Rattus norvegicus: one gene and its partner. The protein of the gene in region 1 purifies or fractionates together with the protein of each later gene. This does not show direct contact. Links are inferred from orthologs where the notes say so. Each region holds a gene or a part of one and is shown in the gene's direction. Other genes may lie near its edges.

Region 1 (4,723 bases):
CAGGAAACCAGAGGATCAATGTCCTCATTGCTAAAAAAGAGGCTAAACTCATCTAAGGGCTTTCTGGGCTGTTACATTTTGACTCTAGGAGGCAAGGTGTGTGTGTACGCACACACACACACACACGCACATCCTGACAGACAAGATGTGGCTAAGAAAACAAGTCAATATTCAGTTTCACTACACCATAGCATAAGAAAACTATGCTTCTATGGGACACTAAAACAGGAATTTTATTTCCAATAAGATGCATTGTGTTTAGCACAAACCAAGATTGTTTGGGAATCCTAGTGGGTAAAGCTCTTAAAAATCTCACTGAACTCTGAGTCACGACAGGCCCACCTATTTTAACTTCTATCACTGTTTTAACTTTCTACCACTGTGCTCAGCATTGACAGAGAAACGTGAAGTTGCCCAAGGAGCTAAAGAAAATACCCAAACAATATTAGTAGGTGTTGGTAATCCCTGGGTGGTAGTATTATAAATCACTTGCAAATCTAGTCTTGGACCCTTAGGAAAGCATTTTCGCCCTTCAAGAGCCTGCAGCTCTCTAAAAGTATTTGCTTGTATTTGAATATTGTTCTGAGTAGGTTGGAAGCAACAGGCTGGTGGGAGAGAAAAGGGGAGGAAGGAAGGAGCTGTTGTAGTTGGCGTCTGGACTCAGGTGGAGGAAACGGCTTCAGCTCTGGGGGAGAAGAACTGCAGAGTATAGAAACTATAGAGGCGAGTTCCCACACGCAGCCTATAGCAATGGCTTTCCCACTTGGAAAGCACTTGGTTCCCACTGTGCTTGGGAACCAAGAAAAATCAGAGCTGGCTTTTTCAAAACTTAGTGTCTGATGGCTATAAAGCAGATGAAGAGGCTTGAGAGAGCACTGAGGGTTTTGAATCTCGAGATGGGAGTGCTTGGATTCAGAAACACCCTGATAAGAGTCGTCAGTCCTGGTTCCTTTTTGAAGCCGTCTCCGGCTTGTCCTACTTAGCAGAGACTTCTGGGGTCAGGCTAAGCGGCCGATTCCCGCAACCTAGCTAAGTCACCCTGCGGGGAGTGGGGGTGGGGGGGGATCCCAGGCACCGAGCCAAGGTTTCCTGGATCTTTCGCCTACCCTCCCTCATTCCCACCTCGGCGAATGCAGGTGGGTTGAACTAGCCACTGAGGCTCCAAACAAGCAGCCAGCGACCTCGGAGCTCACTGGCCCAGGCCCTGGGTTTCGCGGGCAAAGACCTGGAGGTCGCAGTCCGGAGCGGTGGCGCGCCTGCCAGCGCAGCTCTACAGCGCCCGGACCTAGATTCCCGGGTCTCCGCCTGGCCGCCGCGCTGGCCCCTCCCCAGCTCTCCGGCCGTTTGGCTAGTTTGTTTGTCTTATTTTTAATTTCTCCGGGGCCAGCCAGAGCAGGTTTGTTGGCAGTCGTACACCTCCGAGTAGTCACGCGACCAGCCAATGTCCTGGCGGCGGTACGGGGAGGCGGCGCGCTCGGGAGCGCGGAGAGGCGGCGGCGCCGCGCCCGGGGCCACCTTAAGAGCGCGCTCGCCAGCCTGGGCGGAGCCGCTCCCGGCGCCCAGACCAATGGAGCTCCTCCTCTGTTTAAATAGACTTGCATTGTCAATCATCTTCTTCTTCGTCAGCCTCCCTTCCACCGCCATATTGGGCAACTAAAAAAGGAGGGGGGCTCGTGCTTTCGGGGTGTTTTTCCCCCCTCATCCCTTGTCCCGACTCACTCGCGGCTCCGAGACTTGCGCGGCGGCAAGGTTTGGAGAGGGGCTGCGTTCGCGGGACCCACGGGCTCGCCCCAGCCTACACTCCGACTGTTTGCCACCTCCTCCTGCCTCCTCCCCTCCCTTCCCCGCCCTCCAGTACACTTGATCACTGAAGCTTCGAGCTGCGCGGCCGGGGCGTCCCTGCGCCTCTCTCCCCAAGACCTGCGCGCTCTTGCGGCTCGGACGGTCGCTCGCCTGGCTCTACTCCACTTGGCCGTCTCTGTGTGCAGTCGCAGAACTTCGAAGTGGGGTTTGCGCTGCGGCAGGGGCGTTTCGCTTTTGTTTGGTTTTGTTGTTTATTTCATTTCATTTTTTTTTTTTTCGGAGAGAGGCGAGGCGGTGGTCCACACCCGCCCGGGGAGGAAGATGTCAAACGTGAGAGTGTCTAACGGGAGCCCGAGCCTGGAGCGGATGGACGCCAGACAAACCGAGCACCCCAAGCCTTCCGCCTGCAGAAACCTCTTCGGCCCGGTCAATCATGAAGAACTAACCCGGGACTTGGAGAAGCACTGCCGAGATATGGAAGAAGCGAGCCAGCGCAAGTGGAATTTCGACTTTCAGAATCATAAGCCCCTGGAGGGCAGATACGAGTGGCAGGAGGTGGAGAGGGGCAGCTTGCCCGAGTTCTACTACAGACCCCCGCGCCCCCCCAAGAGCGCCTGCAAGGTGCCGGCGCAGGAGAGCTTGGATGTCAGCGGGAGCCGCCAGGCGGTGCCTTCAATTGGGTCTCAGGCAAACTCTGAGGACCGGCATTTGGTGGACCAAATGCCTGACTCGTCAGACAGTCCGGCTGGGTTAGCGGAGCAGTGTCCAGGGATGAGGAAGCGACCTGCGGCAGAAGGTGATGATTCTTTGGAAAACTTAAAATGTCTGTCTGTCTCCGTAGCTCCTCTTTGCTAGACCCTGTTCGCTTGCTTTTTCCTGCGTGTTCTGCTTTAGTTCTGGGAGATCGAGCCTGTTTGATGCTTAGGTTTGAAATACCCCCAGCTGACTGCCTGGCCTGTTTATGATTTTGAAGTCAGAAGCCGGAGATAGTAAGATGTGATAACTTCCCCAGCCTAACGCGTCACAGTTCCTCCCCTCTAGCCAGCTGTAGATATGTGACAAAAGTTAGGATGTTTACCAACTGCCTCCTTCTTGGCTAGGGGGAGAAAAAGAGACGTGGGGCGTAGAATACTCCTTGTGTTAGTGGAAACAACCTCATTTTGTGTCCTTAGAGGCTACCGGGGATGACGGGTCCTGGGGTCGTGGGTGGAGGTAGTGGGTTGATCATCCCCTGACTCTTGGGCCAACTTCTGTCAGCCATTGTTCTCGATAATAAAGATGGTTTGTGTGTGTTCTTTTAAAAATTTCCCCTTGCCCCCCTCTTAGATTCTTCTTCGCAAAACAAAAGGGCCAACAGAACAGAAGAAAATGTTTCAGACGGTTCCCCGAATGCTGGCACTGTGGAGCAGACGCCCAAGAAGCCCGGCCTTCGACGCCAGACGTAAACAGCTCCGGTGGGTTAATGAGGAAGAGCACAAAACTGACACCCTAGCTGGGCTGCGCTCCCCCGGGGGGGGGGGGCTGCAGACCCCAGAACTGCTGGCAGATTACTTGCCTGCCAGGAGGAATTACTTTCCTAGGTCAAAAAATTAACACTGAGGAAGGCTGGAATCACTTGAGGGGACTGTATGCAGTATTTGTATCCCAAGATGTTTACCTTAAAATGGAACCAGAATGAGTGTCCCAAGAACTTGCCACCAAGGCCCCAAAGGATAGGGAAAGTTATATCCTTCTGAATCCCATTAAAACTTAAGCTGGAAATGACAATTTTCCTTCCCATTCTCACTTCATGAGAACCCATTTCCCAGAGGTTCGTTTTCAGCCAATAACCTATTTTGAGCCGTTTGAACCATAGAAAAATGGCAAATATATAATTACGTTTATATTCTTAAAAGAAAAACCAGGTACACGTAGTGCAGGTTTGGTTAGGAGTGTCTTGTGTTCTTCTGCTTTTGTTTTGGTTTTTGGGTTTGTTTTTTTTTTTTTTTTTTTTTTCGAAATAGGGTTTCTCTGTGTTAACAAACAGCCCTGGAGATTGCTCTGTAGACCAGGCTGGCTTTGAACTCACAGAAATCTGGCTGCCTCTGCCTCTGCCTCCTGAATGCTGGGATCAGAGGCATTTTGCCACCACCTCCCTGTACTTTTTTTTTAATTTTTTTTTTTTTTAAAGTTGTGCCTTTCCTTGTATGCTGGTAAATTTTGGAGAGTAAGAAAGGGACTTTAAAAAAAAAAAATTAGAATGGAAAGTTCAGAAGTACTAACGCTCCCACAGAATTTCTGATTTTAACCCTGAGGTTACAAAGCAGAAGTTAAATGAGCAGCCAGAGGAAGCAGTCCTCTAACACGTCAGCGCCGTATGCTAATTGTGCTGGAACAGGATGGTTTGGATGTTTATAGGGGAAATGGATGGTAGATGTTAGGACCAACTGAGAAGGTCCAGCACAAGTGTGGATTTTTCCATGTGTCAAAATCTCATCACCCCACTTGCCTAATTAGAGTAACCCAGCCCCTAAATTTACATAGATTGACTATTCATATGAGCCGACGATATATAATAATTTATAAGCTTGTTATGAACAAAGGCAGCAGTCTCTATTTCTAAAGCCCACTCGTAACCCAGCATATAAATAGATTTTAACAGTTTATTATGAACTTTCCAGGTCCTCATTTATTGAAATTTAAAAATAAGCGAAGGGATATAGAGATGGCATAGGGTTCCAATTGGTTGTGTTTAGAAGTCATAACGTCATGATATACCTTCTACAGACATAGCATTTTTTTTTTTTTTTGTTCAGAGCTGATGGAAAATGGCCATTAGAACCACCTTCCGTATAACACCCTCTATAAAGTAGGCAAATTGGATGGAAGTTCTTTCTAAATAGCCATCACACCTGTGTTGGTCTGTGTGGCTTGGGGCCTA
Region 2 (4,736 bases), on another chromosome or scaffold:
GACAGCTCCCGCAAAGGGAGGCAACTCCCTCGCTCTCCAGAGTCGTGATAAGCAATTACTGGTTGGGCGAACTTTCCTTAGGCCAAGACAAGGTATTGGGTGTCCTCTGATCCTGTCTCCTATGTGTAAATCTGGGAAAGCGAGCTTTTGCTAGTGTAAGGAACTACTACCCCCAAGACTCGGAAAGTGTCTGAAAAGGGGGCTGTGCGGGAGGAAAGCTGAGGGCCTTCCTAGGCCCTCAAGAACAGCGTGGCACAAAAGGCCCGCCGCGGCCGGCCGCCTCCAGGTGCATCTCGGGAAGCGCCGGCCCCCGCGGCCGCTGTCTTTGGCACCCTCACACCGGTTCACTCCGGACAGGGATGGGCAAACGCCCGAACACCTGCCTCCAGGAGCCCTTCCTCTGCTTTCGCGGCCTGGGGGGGAAGGGGGGGTCTTTGTTCCCCGAGCGGCGTCCCGCCACCCGACTGTGTGAGGAGTGTCACCCACAAACCCGGCCTGGAGAGGCGCAGGGCGCGGAGAGGTAGTCGGAGCCCTGAGCTTAAGTGCCCGGATCACGCGCGGCGCGGGGCGGTCCGCCACGTCCGGGCCGCGCTCGCAGGCGGGAGGCTCTCCCGCGCAGGCGGTTCGCGCGGGCTCCGCAGGGCGCGCTGGCGGCGGGGCAGGGCAGGGCGGGGCGGGGCGCGCGGCCGGGGCGCGCACGTGGTGCCGACCGTCCTGCCCTTCGGCCAGGTCCCCGAAGACTCCGCACTCCTGCGGATGGGGAGGGCTCCCACTTCAGTCTCGAGAGGTGGTTAGCGCCAGGAGTCTGCGGAGAAAGGCTGCGCGCGGCGCAAGAACTTCCCGCGCGGGCTCCGTGAGGGAGCCGTAGGCAAGAGCGGAGTGGCCGCTCGGCGGGGCGCGAGGACAGGGTTCACACGTACCTAGTCCAGGGGCTGAGGCGCCTTCCGGTGTGCGGCCGCGGCGAGCAGGCCCTCGTCGCCAGGCGGGTGGCTCCGGCTCCGCACGTGGCGGGCGGCGCGCTCCGGAATGTTTACATTCTGCGGCCGCTCCACGTTGTGCTGCCGTCCTTTCCTGCCATTGGCCAGCTCCTCGGCCGCGGCTTCGCTCCTCCCGCAGGGGCGGGCCCTCCGGCTCCCGCTCCCCAGCCTCTGAGAAGATTTGGGTGCCCCCCTCCCGTCCCCCCAGAGGCCTGGGCGGGACAGCGTCGCCTCCCCCTAAAAGCCGAGCTGAACCGCAGCCTGACACCCCGAGATCCAAGAGCTATCGTGAGGGGAACGGGCGTGAACTGGAAGGCTTGCGGGCGTCCGCGGTGGGCCACTAACACGGGGGAGGGGCCTCTCGGACGCTGCAGCCGCGGCGCGCGCAGGTGAAGCGCCGAGAGGGGCGGAGGAGCACGGTCCGGGAGGGCAGCCGTGCGGCCACTCGGCGCCCGCGCGCACTGAGGGCAGGGCGCGGCGCGCGCGGGCGAGCTGGGCGGGCGCGGGCGGGGGAGGGGAAGGCGCCGTCCGAGGTGTCAGTCTGCGGCGCATGCGTGCGGGGCGGTCCGGGCCAGGCCTATATATTGAGTTGGCGCCGGCGCCAGCTGAGCCGAGCTGAGGAGGGTCTGGCGCTGAGAAGGTATTGGGGACAGGGGTGTAGGGGAGCGAAGGGAACCTCATCTGACGGGAGCCGTGGAAGAGGAAAAATGGGGGATGGAGTGGGGACAAGGGATAGGAGACTGGAATTAAGGGGTCCCGAGGTCGGTGCCTGTCAGGAGGCCAAGGGGAGGCACGGGATGGAGTGTATCCCCAAATGAGAGGCCACGAAAAGCTTCTCTGGGAGCGTCTCTGTCCATCCTCATTTTGGGAAGGTCTCCCGCGTGGGAGGATTAAGGTGTGGGTCTCTTCACGGAGAAATTCGTAAGCCCGGTTTTCTCCTTTAACACCCCCCCCCAATTTCCTTCTGCTCTTTTGAAATTGAGGTCCCATCACCCCTGCAAGCGACACTACCCGCCGGGTGGGGCTGGGAAAGAGGGAAAGGAGCCTGGAGGACGTGACACCAGAAGGTTCCCTCCACCCCCTGCTTCCCCGCCACAGCCGCTCTCCAAATTGGCGCGGAACCGGCTTCTCCACAGCCCGCTCTTGGAGGCTCGGTCAGGCGCCTGGCGGGCTGAGTCCAGGACAAGCCTTTCCCACCCTAGTTGGACTGGGGAGTGCATGAATGACCCAGAAGATCGGGCTAAAGGGTGCTAGGGTCCTCTGCACATTCCTTAACGCACTCACGTTCCCACTGGCCATTCAGCTAAGGAAATGAAAGCATGGACGTAAAGTTACTGAGATACTAGTGTATTTCAGAAGATAGTGCAGTGTTTCTTTTTAAAGGTTCAGGCCACCTTCTGGTAATGTTAGTTTTAGTTGGAACTTGAAGATTATGGATGACTATGTTCTTGATTTTACTTTTCTTCTCCCCCATTTAGAGGTTTCATAGGCCTCAAAGAAGAGAATGTCAAGACGCAGGTAACACTGTTAGTCTGGGAGACATGTTTCAAAATTTGCTGCTGCTTTTGAAATATCTGACTTACTAATTAAACGTCCTTTCTAAAATTCATCACAGTAGCCGTTTACAAGCTAAGCAGCAGCATGCCCGGCCCAACCAGCCAGACTCTCCACAAGAAGCCCAGATAATTCAGGCCAAGAAGAGAAAAACAGCACAGGTGATGTAAGGAACAAGAGGGAGAAAGGGAAGAATATTCCTTGCTTGAGACCTTAGTTTACATCTTCTTTTCTATTCTCCAGGATGTCAAAAAAAGAACAGAGGAGATCACCAAGAAGCATCAGTATGAGATTAGGGTAATGCAGAACTGGCCTGGGTGGGCTGGGGAAGCGTAAGAGTAGAACGGTCTGTTACTGCCTTACAGTAGGAAGAGTCTAATGATCTTAGAGGTGAACTTGGAGGGGTTCATGTGAGCCTGAGTTCTACAGCTGCAGGGTAGTTGGCCTAGAAGCAGCTGGCTCCCTTTTGTACATCCCTCCCTTTTGGAGCTGGCTGGTGTACCAGGGCCCGCCTCTATACTGCTCTTTGTTCACTTTCTAACTACAGTGGAGGGCCTGATCGCTCTGAGCGGGCATGAAAAGGATGTGAGGTCACTGTCAGTGTGGCACCCAGGCTTCAGTGTCCCTTCCTATGTGCTAACTTGGAGATGGTAATTTTCCTCTAAATGACTCCACTTGACTAGATCTTTTGATGTTTTTGCATTCAAGTATTAGAAAACACTTTATAAAGTATCCTATTCTAGATTCCGAGAACAACTACTCTTGAAATTATTTTACTTTACAAATGCATTCGTTATTTCAGTACTTAATGCCTTGTATTACCAGGCTTCCTTATCTAACTGATGGAGACAAATATGAATTATATAGCTTTAAAAATTAAGTATGAACATCAAATTGGCTATCATTTGAGGATGCAGAACAAAGGCAAGGTTTCTTAATGCACTTACAGGTTTTTCTCTTTCTGTTTTGAAATGACAGAATTGTTGGCCACCTGTACTGTCTGGAGGAATCAGTCCTTGCATTATCATTGAAACGCCCCATAAAGAAATAGGAACAAGTGACTTCTCTAGGTTTACAAACTACAGATTTAAAAATCTTTTTATTAATCCCTCACCTCTGCCAGACTTAAGGTAAAAAAATTTCAGTAACTTTATACCAAATGTTTAAGTGGTAGAATTAAAATAATGCTGTGTATTTTCTTTTGACTTTATTATAAGATAGGGAAACTGTTTGTTTGTTTGTTTTAGTATTTCCCTTACTGAGAAGTAAGCATATATCATTCTCCATGAGACAATATCTGCAAATGATAGCAAGTGATAGAGTTAAAACCCAAACCTGGGTTTTACTTCACTTGTTTGGGAAGTGCTTCCAGACATAGCGGAACTGAACTCCTTTTTAAATTGTAGTTTAAATTTGTCTAGTTAAAATGAGAACACTTTTAAATGAACAGCAACCCTACTTCTTACCAAGTTTACTATCAGTTATGATATGACTAAGAAGTATGGCTTATAGAAAATATTTATATAGTAGTTGACATTTGACTTGAATAAGCAAATTAATGGAGTCAGACAAACTATCTCTGTGCCTGATACTAAGTTCCACCTTAAAAATTATAAATGATGCTGTTTATATTTTCAAGTGTTGAAATAATGATCACTGTGATCATATGCTTACGTTTACATATACATCTATTTTTCTAGCCTTGCTTTAAGAGTTATCTTGCTGGGTGGTAATGATGCATGCTAGCACTCAGGAGGCAGAACAGACAGATCTCTGTTAATTCAAGAGCAGCTTGGTCTGCAGAGTTCCAGGATAGCCAGGGCTGTTGCACAGAGAAACCCTGCCTCAAAACCAGTTATCTTAAACCATAGCTTTTATAAATTATAAAAAATCAGATTGTGTAACATTCCTGAGATTTACCAGTAAGGTGGAAATCTTTCCATTTGTAATTGCAAGGTGGAGCTGGAGATTTGAAACTTGTACTTACGCTATTGTAAACAGAACTTGGATAGGTCACAACTATAAATTATGTGCTTTCTCCCCCACCCCTCCCCATGTAGCTGGGCATGTTCACAGGAGGTTTGGCAAAACATGCTACAAAAGGAAAGCAGATACGTGCATGACAAACATTTTGAAGTTCTGCATTCTGACCTGGAACCACAAATGAGGTCAATACTTTTAGACTGGCTTTTAGAGGTATGTTCT

What was found.
Region 2: the proteins of Cdkn1b (region 1) and Ccne2 purify together in Homo sapiens (co-immunoprecipitation; 5 studies listed by BioGRID and IntAct, with this or other methods). This does not show direct contact. The link is inferred for Rattus norvegicus from reciprocal best matches to the Homo sapiens genes CDKN1B and CCNE2.

The regions. Positions count from the first base shown.
Region 1 is NC_086022.1:169,489,792-169,494,514, forward strand, and holds the start of Cdkn1b (cyclin-dependent kinase inhibitor 1B), read left to right. Parts: upstream 1-1,712; 5' UTR 1,713-1,749; exon of another isoform or gene 1,750-2,085; 5' UTR 2,086-2,124; coding exon 2,125-2,599; intron 2,600-3,129; coding exon 3,130-3,248; 3' UTR 3,249-3,257; intron 3,258-4,723. UniProt on the Homo sapiens protein: Important regulator of cell cycle progression. Inhibits the kinase activity of CDK2 bound to cyclin A, but has little inhibitory activity on CDK2 bound to SPDYA. Involved in G1 arrest. Potent inhibitor of cyclin E- and cyclin A-CDK2 complexes.
Region 2 is NC_086023.1:29,081,818-29,086,553, forward strand, and holds the start of Ccne2 (G1/S-specific cyclin-E2), read left to right. Parts: upstream 1-1,527; 5' UTR 1,528-1,617; intron 1,618-2,455; 5' UTR 2,456-2,481; coding exon 2,482-2,495; intron 2,496-2,592; coding exon 2,593-2,692; intron 2,693-2,774; coding exon 2,775-2,828; intron 2,829-3,509; coding exon 3,510-3,661; intron 3,662-4,591; coding exon 4,592-4,727; intron 4,728-4,736. UniProt on the Homo sapiens protein: Essential for the control of the cell cycle at the late G1 and early S phase.